Linked DNA regions of Saccharomyces cerevisiae S288C. The gene in region 2 interacts genetically with the main gene of each other region. Each region holds a gene or a part of one and is shown on either strand. Other genes may lie near its edges. The genes, in order: ATG26, HXT16, ARO3 and YAT1.

The links.
Region 1: mutations in HXT16 (region 2) and ATG26 together harm fitness more than expected from each alone (negative genetic interaction), as found in Saccharomyces cerevisiae (one large-scale study listed by BioGRID).
Region 3: mutations in HXT16 (region 2) and ARO3 together harm fitness less than expected from each alone (positive genetic interaction), as found in Saccharomyces cerevisiae (one large-scale study listed by BioGRID).
Region 4: mutations in HXT16 (region 2) and YAT1 together harm fitness less than expected from each alone (positive genetic interaction), as found in Saccharomyces cerevisiae (one large-scale study listed by BioGRID).

Annotation. Positions count from the first base shown.
Region 1 is NC_001144.5:529,802-536,243, forward strand, and holds ATG26 (sterol 3-beta-glucosyltransferase), read right to left. Parts: upstream 4,593-6,442; coding exon 996-4,592; downstream 1-995. Other genes in the region: ATP-binding cassette permease MDL1, read left to right, coding at 1-586; MMR1 (Mmr1p), read left to right, coding at 5,413-6,442.
Region 2 is NC_001142.9:730,117-734,757, reverse strand, and holds HXT16 (hexose transporter HXT16), read right to left. Parts: upstream 2,319-4,641; coding exon 615-2,318; downstream 1-614. UniProt on the Saccharomyces cerevisiae protein: Probable glucose transporter.
Region 3 is NC_001136.10:519,946-523,724, reverse strand, and holds ARO3 (3-deoxy-7-phosphoheptulonate synthase ARO3), read right to left. Parts: upstream 1,910-3,779; coding exon 797-1,909; downstream 1-796. Other genes in the region: mitochondrial 37S ribosomal protein mS47 EHD3, read left to right, coding at 1-514; cysteine-rich palmitoylated domain-containing protein CPP3, read right to left, coding at 2,256-2,411; YDR034C-A (uncharacterized protein), read left to right, coding at 3,033-3,209. UniProt on the Saccharomyces cerevisiae protein: Stereospecific condensation of phosphoenolpyruvate (PEP) and D-erythrose-4-phosphate (E4P) giving rise to 3-deoxy-D-arabino-heptulosonate-7-phosphate (DAHP).
Region 4 is NC_001133.9:187,778-192,756, forward strand, and holds YAT1 (carnitine O-acetyltransferase YAT1), read left to right. Parts: upstream 1-2,415; coding exon 2,416-4,479; downstream 4,480-4,979. Other genes in the region: DUP240 family protein MST28, read left to right, coding at 330-1,034; YAR035C-A (uncharacterized protein), read right to left, coding at 4,560-4,640; oxysterol-binding protein related protein SWH1, read left to right, coding at 4,842-4,979. UniProt on the Saccharomyces cerevisiae protein: Involved in the transfer of acetyl-CoA into mitochondria. May also be involved in the metabolism of acetate and of ethanol.

The DNA.
Region 1 (6,442 bases), on a different chromosome or scaffold from region 2:
CAACTTGAGGAAGTATCGAAGACTAATAGGATACGTGCAACAAGAACCACTACTTTTCAATGGGACTATTCTGGACAATATCCTCTACTGCATTCCGCCTGAAATTGCGGAGCAGGATGATCGTATTAGACGTGCTATTGGAAAAGCTAATTGCACAAAATTTTTGGCCAATTTTCCAGATGGATTGCAGACTATGGTTGGTGCTAGAGGCGCGCAATTGTCCGGTGGTCAAAAGCAAAGAATTGCATTAGCTAGAGCGTTTTTACTAGATCCTGCCGTCCTTATTTTAGATGAAGCAACCAGTGCCCTTGACTCTCAAAGTGAAGAAATAGTTGCCAAAAATCTTCAGAGACGTGTGGAAAGGGGGTTCACTACTATATCAATTGCACATAGGCTTTCGACGATCAAACACAGTACTAGGGTGATTGTGTTAGGAAAACATGGCTCAGTGGTTGAAACCGGTTCATTCCGAGATCTAATCGCCATTCCTAATAGTGAACTAAATGCGCTGCTTGCCGAACAGCAGGACGAGGAAGGAAAAGGGGGAGTGATAGATTTGGACAATAGTGTTGCCCGGGAAGTATAAGAAGTTGCCGCAGTATGGAATCACTTTTCTATGCCACAGTTATGGTATGTGTTGGAAGACAATTAATTATCGCATTATGTTTGCTGAATATGAAATTGTGTATTCTATAATTTAAATGATGCCCAATGTAATTTACACAAACAGTTTTTTTTTAAAGCTCCTTGTACGCCTTTATACACATTAAATTAATATTAGATGCACAACATACGGTACGTTTAGGAAACTCAAATTAAGCTTTATTTTTTTACTTTTTTATTATTGTTACTATTATTCTTATTATCAACATTATCGTTTTCATATCTTTCCTGAGTACAAATATGACTGAAACTTACAAAAAAAAAATTAATTATTTATTACTATTAATGATTAGATGTTACGCTTTTTTATAAAAGTGAGAGTGATACTCGGTTTAAATCATCGTCCACCCTTCATCCGTTGTTTCAGCAGGTGTCAGTTTGGTTGCATCTACATTTTCCTCTTTCTTGCGCGGAGTTTTCACTCTTGATAAAGTAACGCTTCTTGCATACTCAAGTTCGTTGTAAATTGCACTTATTGCAGTTTTAATCCCATCTTCTTTGGAAATTTTCTTCTTTATTAATCCAGCTCTATCCTTCATTATTTTGTTCGTCGTAGCTACTTTTAAAGCATCTGCTAATGTTTGAGCGTTAAGTTTCTTTAAAGCAATACCAACTCCAATGTCTTCTACTCTACCTGCATAAAAGAACTGATCACCAAAGAAAGGTTTTATAACAGTAGGTAAACCAGCACGTAATGAAGCTCCAGTAGTTCCAGAACCACCATGGTGAACGGCAGCATCGACTTGTGGGAACAACCAATCATGGGGAACGTTTCCGATATTTAAAATGTTTCTTGGAAGATCTACCTCTGTCTTCTTTGCCGCCTTATCGCCCAACCTTTCTGACCATCCCTTATTTAAAATGCAGTATACATCTGCTTCCATAACTGCTTCGACAAGAGCTTCCGTCATTTCTTTGGCATTAGAGACTACAATCGAACCAAACCCGATATAAACCAATTTTTTTCCTTTTGATCTTGCCTCAGAAATAAATTCTTGTAATTCTGCTGGCGGTTTGAAAGTACTCTTATCATCAAGAAACCAATATCCTGTAACTCTCACCCACTCGCTAAAATCAATTGATGGCGGAAAAATTGTAGGAGAAACATTGTATAAGAAAGGAACATTATTCTGCTGTAAAAGAAAAAGATTTGTTTTCCCTAAACCTAGAGTTTCAACTCTCCACTTGTTTACTTGCCCACTAATTCCCTTCCAGAAAACGTTTTCGAAAAGGACATGTGTCAGGTAGTTATAGTTACCGCCCCTTTTTTGATCTGGTACAATAAATGCATGTGGATATGCTCTTGTTCTTGTCCATGGCATGGTAAATGCTCGAAAATAAGGAATTTGCAATGCTTCAGTAATATGAATACCAACCATAGCTGAGGGTGATTCAATCAGAATATCAAATTTTCTTCTGTTACAAACCTCCCAAGATGTCTGTAAAAGAGCATCGATCCATCCCCTAAATTTGCTCGAAGCTTCTCTCAGCATTTTAACATTCATTGATTCATTTTCCACCATCAAGGACATCAACTCCACTGGGTTACCAGCAATCTCTTCAAACTGGATTCCATGACTTTCAACAAAGTCTCTAAATTCCGAATGTGTAATTATTACCACTTGGTGACCTTCTTTTATCAAGCCCTTTCCAAGTGCAATATATGGTTGAACATCCCCTCTTGAGCCAATCGTCAATAATCCAAACTTATAACTCTTGTTTGGTTTTATGCTTGTTTTATAGTGCGGATTCTCATCAATCATTAACGGTACCTCAAAGCCCTCGGCATTAATTTTATCTTCGAAAAGCTTCAACTTCGCTGAGTCAGGGTTATGCTGAACATCGCCAAGAGAAGCACTCGATATATTCGATCCTTCTGCACTGCTTGCATATATGTTATCTAAGAGCTTTAAAAGAATGCGTTCAATATCATCCCTGGCGACCTCAGTGCTAAATTCAAAAAATAGCTCCTCGTGACCGTGAATTACTATAACCAATACAAAATAACCAAATCGAAATCCCTTTTCTTTATAGCATGTCTCCACATCAACCAATGGCAAAACCATGTATGTATTAGACCCTGGTAATAACGATCTGAAGCACACCGTATCATTGGATACGTAAATCTTACCATAAACGGGAACATTTCTATTCAGGTATGTGTAGTAAGTACTGATTAGTGACTTCTCTTTATTAAACTTGAAATGGTACCTGAACCGCTCGTTAGCAGAAACCTCTTCTGTTTCTTTAATCAAATAGGTATCATCCTTTTGAAACGGGATAAACTTGTTCCGGTAGTGTATTGGTTTGGCAGCCCACATTTCGGCAAAATTTTTGAGGTGACTTGGCTTCCAAGCTACGGTTTGCTCTTGACTATCTTCTTGTTCATGAATATGAATCGTGGAATGCACAGAAGAGTCTATATCATTCGCCGCATCTTTATATATTTCCTCCACATCCTCAACTTGAGAATCTTCAAGAGGTTTAGCTCTACGAAACCAACTATTGCTTCTTTCTCTAAATCTGAATCGACTCTTTTTCCCATTTTCCGAAGAAGGCACAGCCGAAGTTGGAACATTCAAATATTTTGAATCCTCGCCGTTATTCTTTTGCTCAACTGTAGCTGGTGTCTCTTTTCCAAAACTTGATTTTGATTTCTTGGCTGGAATATCATAATAAAGTGTATTAACACCGGATTTCTGCAATATAGCCAACTGTTCGCCAAGGCTCTCTTTGACCTGACTACCGGACCCATCCATGAAAACAAACATGAAATCATCGATAGCATAGGTCTGTGAGCTCTCCAAAGCTCTTAATCTCAATGTTAAAGCTTTGTTGACTATAGGTTGATCATCTATCTCTATAATGTTGGGCAGCGGAATTTTTAAACTTATCGAATTGTTTTCAGAATTCTGAGCTGCGAACTGCTCCTTTTTCAAAGCGTTCACCCACGATTTAGCGGAGAACTCTGAATCTGCATTGAATTTGAATGTACTTTCATCTGTGTAAAGCTTAAATGTTTTCGTAGCACTCCCGTTTAAGGTATGTTTTTGTGTTTCAATTTTTTGGACCTCCCTCAAATCTATGGTTAAAACCGGAAAGTATAGCTCAGTTGATGAGGTATACATAGAAAATAAATGATTCTTTAGTACGCACCAATACCTGGTAGACCTAATTAGTTTTGTCCTGATATTAAGGTTTCCAGACATTTTAACCGACCGAGGATTCTTAGGTAAATATGCAAAGAATAGGAAATGTTTTGTTGTAATAAAAATATGGCCTTGAACCAACACATCTTTAAGTAGCCATGCAGGGAAATCATTCAAAAATGGTTCCTGTTCGTCTAAACAAAACCGCTGTCTCAACTTAGCCACATTGTCTTTTGACAGTTTTTCCCTAGTTATTGAGAAGTCGAATAAAGTTGGCTTTCTTTTGTCTAATCTTGGTACTTCCGGATGCGATTTAGTTTTGAGATTTTCCTTTTTGCTTTTTACCTCATTTCGACCAATGTTTTCCTGGAAACTATCACTGGAATCAGATTCTTCAGAATCAACTTGCGACAACACATTCATTTCTTGAGCATTATTCATCCCTGCATACACACTAGCAGTAGTTAATAAACCGGCAATACTTTTCATCATATACTTGGATTTCGCCAAGTCATCTGCATTATCGTTATTGTAACCGTTTTCGTCATCATCACTACGGGCTTCATTTGGACTGTCCTGCAGTTCTTGCTGCTCAGACGACCCCATCGATAAACTGCTATTTGATCTTCCTCTCCAGCGCTTGAACTTCGAAAGTGACCTTGAAAGGCGATGATGCCTAGGGGAAGTTTCTGGCTCAGATGGCTTATCAGGTACCAACGAAATGCTTGGTTTTGGCCCCGCCTCGCTATCAGACGCTGATATGATTTGAGTGATGGGCATTCTTTTAAGTTATACGGATTTTCACCAAAGCATAAAGTGCAACTGAACTTCTGATGTTTACTTTTTGACAGCCATGACTTTATCAGTGATAAATGCAATGACTTTCCGATCTACTCCTTCTGTTGACTTTTAGTCCCTTTTTTCTTAGATGTTATGTTACAGTCACATCAGGGTTAAGTTTTTCCAAGTCATCTCAAAACAATGACCTATTTTATTTCTAGATAAACCCTGGTGTAAGCAGGGTTAATTTTGTCCCAAACGGGCAAAATATAAATACCCCTTTCGGGAAATAAACTAAAAAGAGTTCTAATTAGCCAATTGGCAAGAAAGCTCGATGAAGAATCATTATGGGTTTAGAAATCAGATTTCCTTACTTTACAAGTTCTCTCACGCAAGCTTGATCGTTTTTAAATTTTCTACGTTCATTCAAGACAAAGTGGTTACAGATAGAAGTTTTTCTCACATTTAGATTATTTTTTCCTGATAGTATTAAATAACACGTACGATCAACAAATTGTTGCTCAGTTTAAGTGAGCCTAGAGAATTAAGCTTTATTACTGCTGTATTTTCTGTTATTTTGATTGCCTTGGGAATAAAGGAAAGGTTTGGAGGGGCACATCTTCCTAAATAGCAGTAAGGAAAAAGAATCGCGTGTGAAGTCTTTTAAATCAACATAGTTATCCTCGGTTCCAACTATTTTACTTTCGTTTCAATTCCGTTGTTCTTAACTAATCTTCTTTTCTTTTAACTTGTTACAAGCCAGTACTCATTGCAAAATCAAAAAAAAAAAACACAACTAATAAACTAAACAACTAAAAAAATGAATTCTCCAACAATGAAATCGGAACAACTTACTCCAAAACTCTCACCAATGTCCTTTTGTTTGGATGACCAAAGAAATGCAGGCTCTTTTCAAAATCTATTGAACTCACCTACGAAGCTAAAATTAGACACTGGCCCGATTGGTAATTCCTTGTTATATCCAACATCACTCTCTAAATTGAGCGAGTTATCAAGAGGTGGACGTTCTAAACAAAGAAGGGGCTCTGACACTATGAGGTCTGTATCGCCTATTAGGTTTCAGTTTTTGAACAACACTCCAAAGATGTTAAAACCCGAGTACCTATCTCAAACAACCAGTAATCTGCCATTGCTATCTGCCCTATTGAAGAATAGCAAGAAAACTACTAGTGAAGGCCAGAATTCAAACCCTGATCCATTGAACATAGAGAAAAACATCATTAAACAAAGCATCAAGGACAAACTAGAGCAGCTGCGCAGTTCAGAATCCGTTGCGCAAGTACAAAAGAAAGAACGCAATCCCCCTTCATTTGAGGCCAAAGTCTGTGCGGAAGAACCGATATTACGGAAAAACGCCGAAGGGTTGCTCCCCTCATACGTTCCTGTTCCTGCTACTCCTTTGGAAGATCCAGAAAATCATGGGGTGCGAAAGGTCGAGGACAAAGGACTTAGAGTCGTCTCCGGCGGCTCCACTCAGTGTCTAAGCACCGAAGTGAACGAATTGCCTAAGGATCTGAATCTAGACAATTTACCTACGGATAATAACGGGTTCGTTCAATATGGTCTCAAAGGCAATAACAACAACAACAGATATAGCTTTATCTCGTCTACGTCGACGGACTATGAGCCCGAATGGTGTGACGGACAACAACATATTTCAATGCAAATGGCCTCTATGGCCAATGCAGAGGAGGCAAATAGTCGTGAAAAATCGAATTTAGACATAAAGATCAAGCAGCTAGAACTTGAAATTACAGAATTAAAGTTGCAGAATGAAAAATTAGTGCATTCCATGACGACGAACAGATACATTGAAGAAAGATTTATGC
Region 2 (4,641 bases):
CTATTATGTTGTGTGGAAACATGCCTCAAAATGTTTTCACCGCAAAAAGTATGCTTGTTGTATTTGCCAAGTTAACGAAGCATGAGAAAGTTTGCCCCCCCGAGTTGAAACAAAGTTATCTCTTCTAATATGATGGTTGTTTGTGCGGCCACGCTAATAACGAGCTCAAATATTCCCTTTATAGTAACAACTGAATATTTGGGAAGAATCTATATTTCTATATTATTGTATACACTTTATTTAGAGGAATGGTACAGTGTTACGTTCCTGGAAATGCATTTTTAAGGATCTTCCATAAGCACTCAAGTGGACCTATGTTGACTTCCCCATCTTCATCACCACTCCGTTTTCACTCCATAAGCATCCTACTTTTTATACTCTGCTTTGCCTTAAAGAAACAGAACTTCGTACAATGTTGCCTTAACCAAACGCTTTCTTTCACTAAATAACTCGTTATTTTATATAGTACTAGTAGTCCGAAAAAGGGAGTTTGCAAAGAAACTCGTAGTTTTTTGTTGATTAAATTTGAAATTACGTGTCACTTCGTTTTACAGTAGGCCCTATTTTTTTTCAAGAATTTATCTCTTAGCATGTTTATCAAGCGCGCATATTGATCAATTAAAACTCTTTGGGAACTTCAAAACTTCTTTCCAGCTTTTCTTCTTAGCCTCAGTTTCCCTGGAAGAAGCTCCTCTCCTTGAGGGTGGTACCCAAGATGCAGATTTCCATGGTTTTATACCTTCTTCATATAGTAACTGGGTTTCCTCCAAAGATAGACCAATTGTTTCTGGTAAAAAGAAGAAAACGTACAAAAACATAGCAACCAAACAACCTACGAACACATAACCATAATAGAAGTGGATAGACCCAGTAATGAATGGTGTGAAAAAACCAATCAAGAATTGCCATAACCAGTTGAATGCAGTCGAAATTGACATTGCTTTAGATTTGACCTTCGAAGGGAATGACTCGGCAACCACAATATAAGCAACAGGGGCCCATGTCGTTGCAAAGCAGAATATATAGAAGCATGTGAACACAATCATGGCATTACCTGCACCTTTCGAGGATGGACCATCCTGGCCATGAGGGTAAAGACATTTTACCCCGATACTTGCAAATATGACCATACAAGCCATCATTGAAGCCGCTCCGAATAACAGACATTTACGACGGCCTATTTTGTCTACGACCATAACAGCAATAATAGTGGAGAAGAAATTCACTGTACCTAGGACGATCGAAGTCTCAAACCCATCAGTAAGCCCAACTGATTTGAAAATGGTAGTTCCGTAGAAGAAGAAGTAGTTTTCACCAGTAAGTTGCAAAAAGGTTTGCACAAGAATACCTGTGATCAAACGTTGAAGGACTTTTGTTTTGACGGAGAAAAGTTCTTTCCATGAGGCTTCCCCTAGTTCTCTTTGGGCAAGGACACCGGCGTTGATTTCATCAGCCTGTTTGAGTACCCATGGATCCTCTGGTGAAACCTTGTCGATCTTGGCGATGGAGACACAGGCCTCTTCATGTCTCTCACATTCAATCAGATATCTTGGGGACTCTGGAACTAATAACATGCCAACGATGATAATTAGAGCCCACAGAAAGCATAGTCCCACAGGAATCCTCCATTGCGCAGTATTACTATACTTCCTTGTTCCATAAACGCTACAATAACCCAAGAAAATACCGAAGGTCATGTTAAGTTGGTACAATGAGACAAGTCCACCTCTCAAATCTGTGGGGGCTATTTCAGATAAAAGCATTGGACACAACACCGAACAGCCACCAGCACCAAGACCGTAGATGATCTTACCGACAAAGTATTGGTACCATTTGTGATTCGAACTGATCTGAATAATTGCACCAACCATATATACCAAAACCACGATTACAATTGCTAGCCTTCTACCTAAAGTATCAGCAAGTCTCGCAAAAGCAACACCGCCAATGGAACATCCTACACTGAACATGGCCACGAGAAGACCCATACGCACGTTGCTCAAATAATACTCACCAGTACTGTGCTTGTAAGAACCAAAATTCATTTTAAAGTTATCCATATTGATGAAGCCTGCAGTAATACCACTATCCCAACCAGGTAAAAAACCGCCAAAGGATACAGGATAGCATAGTAAGTAGATAATAAGGTAACCTAAAAAGCCTCTCTTCGGTGCGTCTGGCGTATTTCCATTAATGACTTCTTTGTCATAAAACCCGTCTGACCATTCTTTCTCTCCGGGTGGCTGTACATGAACGTCAGCTGCACTACTGTTTAGATTATCTGCATTAATTTCTGGTGAGGACTGTTCGCTTGCCATTTTTTTCCTTTAGTTTCCTTTCCTCCTTTTCTGTCAATAATATCAATAGTTTTACTTCTATGGATAGTAATAAGACTAAACCTGAAGCAAACAATGAATTACTTACTTTCTTTATACGTTTGAAAGTTGGTGATTACAGGCCAACACTGGAGTTATCATACTTGAGTTATATAACCATGTTTAACTTTTTTGCAGAGCATTCGGAAAATCAAACCTTTAGCTGATTGCACTTATGATATTGAAAGGTTCAAGATGCGCAGTACAAGTCCTCGTTTGTTTACATCATCTACCTTGCCTGACTTCTTTGCTAAATTGTGCCTCTGCGCAGTGCACGTTCAAAAGAAAAGCATACCCCGCACTCTACTGTTTTTGCATTTTAGCTTTTAAGTTTTAAGTTACTACCACTGTAGCGCACAAAGCTAAAAATAATTTTGCCTGCAGCAGGCTAGCTGCATATTCATAGGCACATCATGAATTTACTGTAATACGAGACGGAGTTAAGCAAAACGGAGTTAACACAGGCGGAGACATGAAACAAGTTCAACTTCAGTAATAGTAATTGTCACGCAATATCTTGTGGAAATTTGCGTACAAGATTTTTTAAGCGCCAAAGGAGCCAAATACGGAAATAATTACCTAGTCCTTACCAAAGAAATAAAGAAAAAGGAAAAGAAAAACTGCAAACGTATAAGATATTTGGTACATTTTAAGAAGGGGATATTCACTTTAATGATCATATCGCTGATTTAGTAACCCAGATCAAGGACAAAGTTACTATTGTCGTCTTTTAAGGTGGAATCTGTGGTTAGGATCTTTACGAGTACCTAGATGATGTCATCTTTATGCCTAAGAGGTCTAGTGTCATAATTTGTTCAACGTTGCTTTTACCTCTGGCAATACTCCACAATATTTCAGGATTTGCTGCCAAAGTCCATTTTGTGCAAGAGAATGTTTATTACTGTTTTGATCGATTATGTTATCGAGGATTCTGAAAAAATGGTTTATGTCATCCGTCTGAGAAATTATGACGGAAGAATGTAAGCTGCCGGTTACAGGTAAGCAAAATATTTGCAAAGGAATTTTGAGAATTTATGGCTCGACGGCGAGATTTGAACTGTAAACGGATATGGTGAAATGAAGTAAGGGCATAATATTATCCAGCAGCTGTTCTCCCATATAGTGCGCCAAAATTGTAAACATTTTTTATATATTACGCTTTCTCCATGTGCAGGTCAATTTTATTCTTCTTTTCGTTGAAGTGATGTTACCTCATACAATGATTCAACTATAGCACCGTTTCATGCTAAGTTATTTGCACATTCTCCTTACCACAATTCCGTACAATTTAAAAATTTGAATAAAGCAGTATTGCAACAAGGCGTTACAGTCTTTGTTACCCTAAGCATGTCTCAAGAATCTATTCATGTGTGTTCATGGCTCTTCTTAAGATAATATTTCATACCTGGGGTGGCCGTTTCATATTTCTGTTTCTCTAACTTTATACCAGGAGAATTCCTTGTCTAATTTGCTACAAGTACCTTTTCAATATAAATAATTTTCAGTTAATTAACAGAGTAGGAAGAGGAAGGAACAAAAACTATCGCGTATCTTCTTGCATAGGGGTAGTGGAGTAAAGATACAAGTATTCGAGAAATAGATATACATTTAAATAGCATTACTATCCCGGGAATCTTGTTGCCATAAGGTGCTTTTATGATATCAAACCAGGGGGGAGAATATTTGGGAAGTAATTGGGAAGTAATTGTATGTATTTCTAAAATTTTTGGATACTCAACTTTTAAATTCAAAATAGTTATATTTGTTATCGAAATGTAGTAGAAATATTCTAAGTAACCAATTTCAAAACTGCATCTATCTTTGGATAAACTGGTGTGATAAGATATACATTGAATGCTGATGTCCATCACACATATGTTTACACTGGCGTCGCTCTGTACCTATTTCAGAATAGATTAATGACAAAGTAAAAGTTCAATAGGCGGGCGGAAAAAATTAGAGATTCATTGAATCTCTAATTTATTTAAAGTTTATAAGTCGTTACATATTTTTCTATGGTAAGTTCCTGGATGTTCTGGTACATCGAGCGTATTTAATATGTCCATTTGGCATGTCCTTTATATGCCCATCTTGTATAAGGTAGTTTTAAATTCTAAGTTATTCAATACTACTGACTAATCATTGTTAATAGCAATTTCGCAGTCATGTTGGGCTCAAAATACTATAGTCATTTTTGTGATTTTTTTTTTTTATTATTTTGATTGAAGAAGGAACAATTCGAAATATGGAGAAAACGTAAAAAATG
Region 3 (3,779 bases), on a different chromosome or scaffold from region 2:
CTCTCTTCAAATCGCCTTGAGATTGGTGCAAGAGAATTCCAGAGATCACATAGAATCTGCTATCAAAAGAGACTTATACACAGCAGCTAACATGTGCATGAACCAGGACTCTTTGGTGGAATTCTCTGAAGCCACAAAGCATAAACTTATTGATAAACAAAGGGTCCCGTATCCATGGACAAAGAAGGAACAGTTATTTGTATCTCAGTTGACATCTATCACATCTCCTAAACCATCGCTACCAATGTCATTACTAAGAAATACCTCGAATGTTACTTGGACTCAATATCCCTACCATTCTAAATACCAATTGCCTACAGAACAGGAAATCGCTGCGTATATTGAAAAGAGAACGAATGATGACACTGGCGCCAAAGTTACCGAAAGAGAAGTACTAAATCACTTTGCCAATGTGATTCCTTCTAGAAGAGGGAAACTGGGTATCCAATCGCTATGTAAAATTGTTTGTGAAAGAAAATGTGAAGAAGTTAACGATGGCTTAAGATGGAAATAAAACCTGAAATAGCAGCCCCGTGGCTCGTAAAGAATTTTGCCAACACTTCTATGCATGTAAATAATAAAAGTAAAACATAACGCTATATTTGTATATGGATGTTTATTTAATGATACATAGAAAACTGTCATTTTCTTTCTCTTTTCTTATAAGTATTTTTTTTTATAAAAGGCAAAAAAAAAAAAGTTTGAATGTAATAAATATGGTTCAGAAAGAAATTACAATAAATCAAAAGTTTTGAGTATCATTCAAGATTATTTGCATTTTTCCCTCATTTACAGGCTATTTTTTCAAGGCCTTTCTTCTGTTTCTAACACCTTCTGCCAATAGCTCCAATACCTGTTCGGTGGACTCCCAGCCAATACAAGCATCCGTAACAGAACAACCATACTTCAATCCCTCTCTGCCACCTTCTTTGGGAATATCTTGTCTACCTTCATTTATGTTGGACTCAATCATAACACCACAGAGACTATTCTCACCCTCCGTCAGCTGGTCATAAATACATTTGGCAACCTTTGGTTGGTTCTTGAAATCTTTATTACTGTTGCCGTGGGAACAATCGATCATAATTCTTTTCTGGGAATCATCAGTCAAACCGGCCTTTTCTAACTGTTTCTTAGTATTTTGAACACTTTCTTTGTCAAAGTTAGTACCGTTCTTACCACCTCTCAAGATCAGGAAGGTATCCTTGTTACCTTCAGTGCCCACGATAGCAGTGACACCTGGCTTTGTGACAGAAAGGAAGTAATGTTCATGTGCAGCGGCTCTCATAGCGTCGATGGCGACTTGCAAACCACCATCAGTACCGTTCTTAAATCCAATAGGGAAAGATAGACCGGATGCTAATTCTCTGTGCAGTTGGGATTCAGTAGTTCTGGCGCCGATGGCACCCAAGGAGAAACAATCACTCAAAAACTGCGGAGAAATGGTATCCAACATCTCACCAGCAATGGGTAATTTTTCAACCAGTTTTATGAACATTTCTCTCGAAATCCGTAGACCTTTATTGATTTGAAAAGAGTTATTCATATCAGGGTCGTTAATCAACCCTTTCCAGCCAACAGTAGTCCTTGGTTTTTCTAAATACGCTCTCATAATAATCAATAAGTCTTTTGACAACTTTTCTGAAATTTTAGCCAATCTGTCAGCGTAATCGTAAGCGGCTTTGGGGTCATGTAGGGAACATGGCCCGATCACGATAACTAAACGATCATCTTTACCATTCAAAATATCACAGACGGAGTCTCTTGCCTTGATAATGTTTTCCTCACCTTTGGCTGAAATTGGAAATTCATGTTGAAGCAGATCTGGAGGGGTTAATGGATCATAACCTTTGATTCTCCAGTCTTCCAAGCGTTTCCTGTCACCGGCGTGATCGTTTTTAATGAACATAATGCTATAAAGTGTTCTTGTAACGTAATAGGGGTAGTAGCTATAAATATAAATGAGAAATAGTGAAAATAAATATGTCGTTCGTATACAAGTAACAGGAAGAAAAAAAAGAAGAGAGAGAAAATGCAAACACTTATAAACACATGCATGTATTTAATGCAGCAAGCATACTTTCCGATGTGACTAATACTTGAGCAATGAAAAAATATAAAAAAGGAAAGTGAGGAAGCTTTTAAATATATGTCACTATGTACGCATAAATTTGAGAAGATACGCAGCTGCTTCTTTTTTTTCAGCGGCTAAATATGATGTTCTTTCCATACTAATTTTTAGCTGTCGATTAGAATTAAAAAACGTCACAACATAGGTTAATTAAACATAGACAACATAGGAAGTGACAACAGGTTCTACAGCAACCACCGGATTCTCTCCGAGGAGGAGGCTGTTGGACATAGACTGGTTGTTGTTGTGGGGCATAATGCATATTTTGATGATGCCTCATTTTGGTATTGCTAACTTAGACTTTTTTAGTTGACAATTAGGATTATTTTAATTCACAACATAACTGAGAAACATTTAAATACAGTTGAAAACTGGGAGGGGCGAGAGGGGAAGGAGAAAATGAAAAATCGAGCTTGTATAATTTTTAAATAGAAATTGCCCTTATTTCTTCGCCTTTTTCCTTTTTTCAGGGTATCGAAAAAAAATGCGAGGGGCTGTGCAATTCAAAGCCAAGAAAGAAAAATAAAACAAGAGGGTTAAAAAATAGAAAAGGTCCTACCCGGATTCGAACCGGGGTTGTCCGGATCAAAACCGAAAGTGATAACCACTACACTATAGGACCCTAAAATGGACGATTGGAACCTTCTTTCGTACCTTCTTGAACAAAGCATTTTGAGTAGAAAATTCATCAATCCTAAATTTGATATTGACTTAGGTTATGGTTTACTCTTCTTTACAGAAATACAAAAGGCATGCTGATTGTTGGAATAAAAATCCATTATCATCTATGATAATTGTGCGGATTCTGATGTAATTGTTGGGATTCCATTTTTAATAAGGCAATAATATTAGGTATGTAGATATACTAGAAGTTCTCCTCCAGGATATAGGAATCCCCATAATGGAATCTATATTTCTACATGCTAATATTACGATCATTCCTCATTCAGTTTTATATGTTTCATTATCCTATTACATTATCAATCCTTGCGTTTCAGTTTCCACTAATTTAGATGACTATTTCTCATCATTTGTGTCATCTTCTAACACCGTATATGATAATATACTAGTAACATAAATACTAGTTAGTAGATGATAGTTGGTTTTTATTCCAACAGTGTATCAACTAGTGGTCATACTATCAATATATTATCATATACGGTATTAGATGATGACAGAAGTTATGGAAAGCTTCGAAGTTAGAGGAAGCTGAAATGCAAGGATTGATAATGTAATAGGATAATGAAACATATAAAACGAAATGAGGAATAATCGTAACATTAGCATGTAGAAATATAGATTCCATTTTGAGGATTCCTAAATCCTCGATGAGAACTTCTAGTAAACCCTGTATACCTAATATTATAGCCTTTATTAACAATGGAATTCCAACAATTATCACAAAATTCACAGAATTTCCAGTTTAATATCAAGAATAGGTGGATAATACGGTAATCGTATGGCCGCCATTGTTATGAAAGACAGTTATTCCTAAGTATATTGAATATACCAGGGTCACTATCGAGAATGTAGAATTTCCCATAAGGAAAGCCATGAGTTCGTATAATATTATGATTGTCTCCTCTCTTCTTTTCTATATCATCATATGATTATTTCTATTGTGTTATTAGTTTTTACATTTCAGTCC
Region 4 (4,979 bases), on a different chromosome or scaffold from region 2:
TTTGACGCTAGCATGTGTCCAATTCAGTGTCATTTATGATTTTTTGTAGTAGGATATAAATATATACAGCGCTCCAAATAGTGCGGTTGCCCCAAAAACACCACGGAACCTCATCTGTTCTCGTACTTTGTTGTGACAAAGTAGCTCACTGCCTTATTATCACATTTTCATTATGCAACGCTTCGGAAAATACGATGTTGAAAATGCCTCTAGAGATGAAAAACAATCGTAAAAGGGTCCTGCGTAATTGAAACATTTGATCAGTATGCAGTGGCACAGAAACAACCAGGAATACTATAGTCATAGGCAATACAAGGTATATATTGGCTATGCAGACCCCTCCAGAAAGTACCGACGTCAAGTTAGATACACTTAACGAACCTAGTGCACATTTAATTGAGAAAAATGTGGCTCTTCCTAAGGACATATTCCGTTCGTACTTGAGTTATTGGATCTATGAAATCGCTCGCTATACACCAGTCATGATTTTGTCCCTGGTAATAGGGGTTTTGGTTTTATTAATTATATTTTTTAATGACAACGAAGCTTGTGTTTTCAATTCTGCAATATTTGCTTTTACTTCTCTTGTAGGTTTGTTAATAATATTAAGTGATGGTAATCCAAAGCTAGTCAGTCGTCGAAATTTTAGGACCGAGCTTTTAGTGGATGTCATCACACGTAAACCGGCGGTAGAAGGGAAAGAATGGAGGATCATCACATACAACATGAACCAATATTTGTTTAATCATGGGCAATGGCATACTCCGTATTACTTTTACAGCGATGAGGATTGCTACCGTTATTTTCTACGCCTTGTTGAGGGAGTAACCCCCAAGAAGCAAACAGCCACGTCAATTGGCAATTCTCCGGTCACCGCTAAGCCTGAAGATGCCATCGAGTCAGCTTCTCCTAGTTCCAGACTGAATTATCAAAACTTTTTGCTCAAGGCAGCGGAGATCGAACGACAAGCTCAGGAAAATTACTGGCGAAGGCGGCATCCCAATATCGATGCGCTTCTTAAAAAGACGGAATAGCTTAGAGACACTACCATACGTAAAGCGAACATAAACTAGAGTATGATATATAATCAGCACTAACTGGCCGGAAAACGGCCGAAGGAAGCCTCGAAAAGTCGATTCGTGTTGGACCCATTTGCTGAACAAAGTGGTTCATTGCCTACCTATTATGGTAGTAGTCGTGATAATCGTGTGGTTGGTTTTGTCAACGGTGCATTTGCATTTTCATGACAATAAACCTTGCGTTTTCGTTCTCGGGATATTACTTTCCCTCCACTTCTTTCGCCTCAATAGCTCCTATAAGCATTCTCAGGGCGTATGTCGGTGATCGAGATTTCCAAGCAAGCTTTTAGTGGAAATCATCGCGCGCAAGCCAGCGGTAAAGGGAAAAGAACGGAGGACGATTACATACAAGATGAACGAATAAATAAATTAATAATAAATAATAATAAAAAGTACAGTAGCATTAAATATTATTAAGTTTAATGATTAAAAATTGGTTAATTGTCAAGAAAATCTAAGGTATTAATAAATAAATAATACTATGACAACTTGCAGCGAAAGCATCAGCCCCAATGAAAATTAATCAGAATTGAATCTGAGCGTATTTATTTGATAACGGTTTACGTAACTGTTGGAATAAAAATCAACTATCATCTACTAACTAGTGTTTACGTTACTAGTATATTATCATATACGGTGTTAGAAGATGACGCAAATGATGAGAAATAGTCATCGTTTTCAACGGAAGCTGAAATACAAGGATTGATAATGTAATAGGATCAATGAATATCAACATATAAAACGATGATAATAATATTTATAGAATTGTGTAGAATTGCAGATTCCCTTTTATGGATTCCTAAATCCTCGAGAAGAACTTCTAGTATATCTACGTACCTAATATTATTGCCTTATTAAAAATGGAATCCCAACAATTATCTCAAAATTCCCCCAATTCTCATCAGTAACACCCCACCCCGTATTACTTTTACCGTGATGAAGATTGGCATCGTTACTTTCTAAACGTAGGACGTGCGGAATGACAAAACCATCAGCAGTGTCACGATCTCTCCAGTCACAATGGCAATCATGAGTGCATAGTCCAAAGTAAAGGGGCAAGGAAAAGCATGATTGAAAGGACTCCCCATCTGGACTCTATATGTCATCAGCGGCTAAAAAAAAGCATATAGCACAACATCAGCATCAGCATCAGCACTAGAGTCATCGGCCCGGCGGTCCGCGGTCATCCCCGCGGACTTTCCGTCCGCCCGGCGGGCTGTATCAGCGTCAACTGGAACGCGCATATATATACAAGACACACATAACATAGAAGCACACCCACGACAATAACCACACGACAATAACCACACCCGCCCACCCCTCCTTTCCGTATACAATGCCAAACTTAAAGAGACTACCCATCCCGCCACTGCAGGACACGCTCAACCGCTACCTGGCACGCGTGGAACCCCTGCAGGACGAGCGCCAAAACCGCCGTACGCGCCGCACTGTGCTCTCCGCAGAAAACCTGGACGCATTGAACACGCTGCACGAGCGGCTGCTAGAATACGACGCACGGCTCGCGGAAAGCAACCCAGAGTCCTCATACATCGAGCAGTTCTGGTATGACGCGTACTTGCTATATGATGCAACTGTCGTTCTCAACGTCAACCCGTACTTCCAACTGCAGGACGACCCAACCATCAAAGACACACCAGAGACGGCGGCACAGGGCCCCTATGGCGCACACACGGTGCAGGTTCGTCGTGCCGCACGACTCACCACCTCTATTCTCAAGTTCATCCGCCAGATTCGCCACGGCACACTCCGCACAGACACTGTGCGCGGCAAAACGCCGCTGTCGATGGACCAGTATGAGCGGCTATTCGGCTCCAGTAGAATCCCTCCGGGTCCCGGCGAGCCCTCTTGCCACTTGCAAACAGACGCCACGTCGCATCACGTGGTGGCGATGTATCGTGGCCAGTTCTACTGGTTCGACGTGCTGGACACACGCAACGAGCCCATCTTCGCCACCCCAGAACAACTGGAGTGGAACCTCTACTCGATCATCATGGACGCGGAATCCGCCGGAAGCGGATCCGCGCCCTTTGGCGTGTTCACCACAGAGTCGCGCCGGGTGTGGTCCAACATCAGGGACTATCTGTTCCATGCGGACGACTGCACCAACTGGCGCAATCTCAAGCTGATCGACTCCGCGCTGTTCGTGGTCTGTCTCGACGACGTGGCGTTTGCCGCCGATCAGCAGGACGAGCTCACGCGTTCGATGCTGTGCGGGACTTCTACCATCAATCTCGACCCGCACCAACACCAGCCGCCATTGAACGTGCAGACAGGCACCTGTCTCAACCGCTGGTACGACAAGTTACAACTGATCGTGACCAAGAACGGTAAGGCGGGCATCAACTTCGAACACACCGGTGTGGACGGCCACACTGTGCTGCGGCTCGCCACAGACATCTACACAGACTCGATCCTGAGCTTCGCACGCGGTGTCACCAAGAACGTCGTCGACATCTTTAGCGACGACGATGGAAAACCATCGTCGTCGTCGTTGGCCTCGGCGGCTCACTCCGCCAACTTGATCACCATCCCTCGTAAACTGGAATGGCGCACTGACAATTTCCTGCAATCGTCGCTGCACTTTGCCGAGACGCGCATCTCGGACTTGATCTCGCAATACGAGTTTGTTAATCTTGACTTCTCCAACTACGGCGCGTCCCATATCAAGACAGTGTTCAAGTGCTCGCCAGACGCCTTCGTGCAGCAGGTGTTCCAGGTCGCATACTTCGCGTTGTACGGTCGCTTCGAGACCGTGTACGAGCCTGCCATGACCAAGGCGTTCCAAAACGGCCGCACAGAGGCCATCCGCTCCGTCACGGGCCAATCGAAGCTCTTTGTCAAGTCACTACTGGACCAGGATGCCTCGGACGCCACCAAAATTCAGCTCTTGCACGACGCCTGTACGGCGCACTCGCAAATCACAAGGGAATGCTCCCAGGGGCTCGGCCAGGACCGTCACTTGTATGCGCTCTACTGCCTCTGGAACCAATGGTACAAGGACAAGTTGGAGCTCCCACCCATCTTCCGCGACAAGTCCTGGACTACCATGCAGAACAACGTCTTGAGCACCTCCAACTGCGGTAACCCCTGCCTCAAGAGCTTCGGGTTCGGGCCTGTCACCGCCAACGGCTTCGGCATCGGCTACATCATCAGAGACCACTCCGTCTCTGTGGTGGTGTCCTCAAGGCATCGCCAGACTGCTCGGTTTGCGTCGCTCATGGAAAAGTCGCTGCTGGAGATCGACCGCATCTTCAAACGGCAGCAAGCTCGCGCAGCAAAACCCGCTGCCAGGACCACTGCTAGCGCCAACACCAAATCAGAAGACATGAAATACCTGTTGTCCGGCTACGATTACTTCGACGTGAGCGTGTCCGGTTGAGTTTATGCTGAGTTTTTGCGCATCAATATTATTTTTACTACTACTACTACTACTACTACTACTACATACTATTAAATATACTAAATAAGAGGAAAACGCTTTGGAAGTGACTGGCGCCGCCGCTGGCTACTATAATAGCAGCGACTGTAATTTAATCTCATCCCGTCGTTTGGATTACCTCTTTTACTCGCCGAGCGAACGTGCACCAAAAAGGGAAAGGAAAAAAAGAAAAAAAAAGGAAAAAGGAAACTCAAAACTTGGATAAATAGAAGCACTCAAACTAAATTAAACTGCCAAAAAAAAAAAAAATAAAAAGGGAAAAGTTTAAACATCAAAGTACACCTTTCACCCCTCCACACACCATGGAACAACCTGATCTATCGTCTGTGGCCATCAGTAAGCCGCTGCTGAAGTTGAAACTTCTCGACGCCCTTCGCCAGGGAAGTTTCCCCAACCTACAAGATCTCCTAAAGAAACAATTCCAGCCGCTAGACGACCCA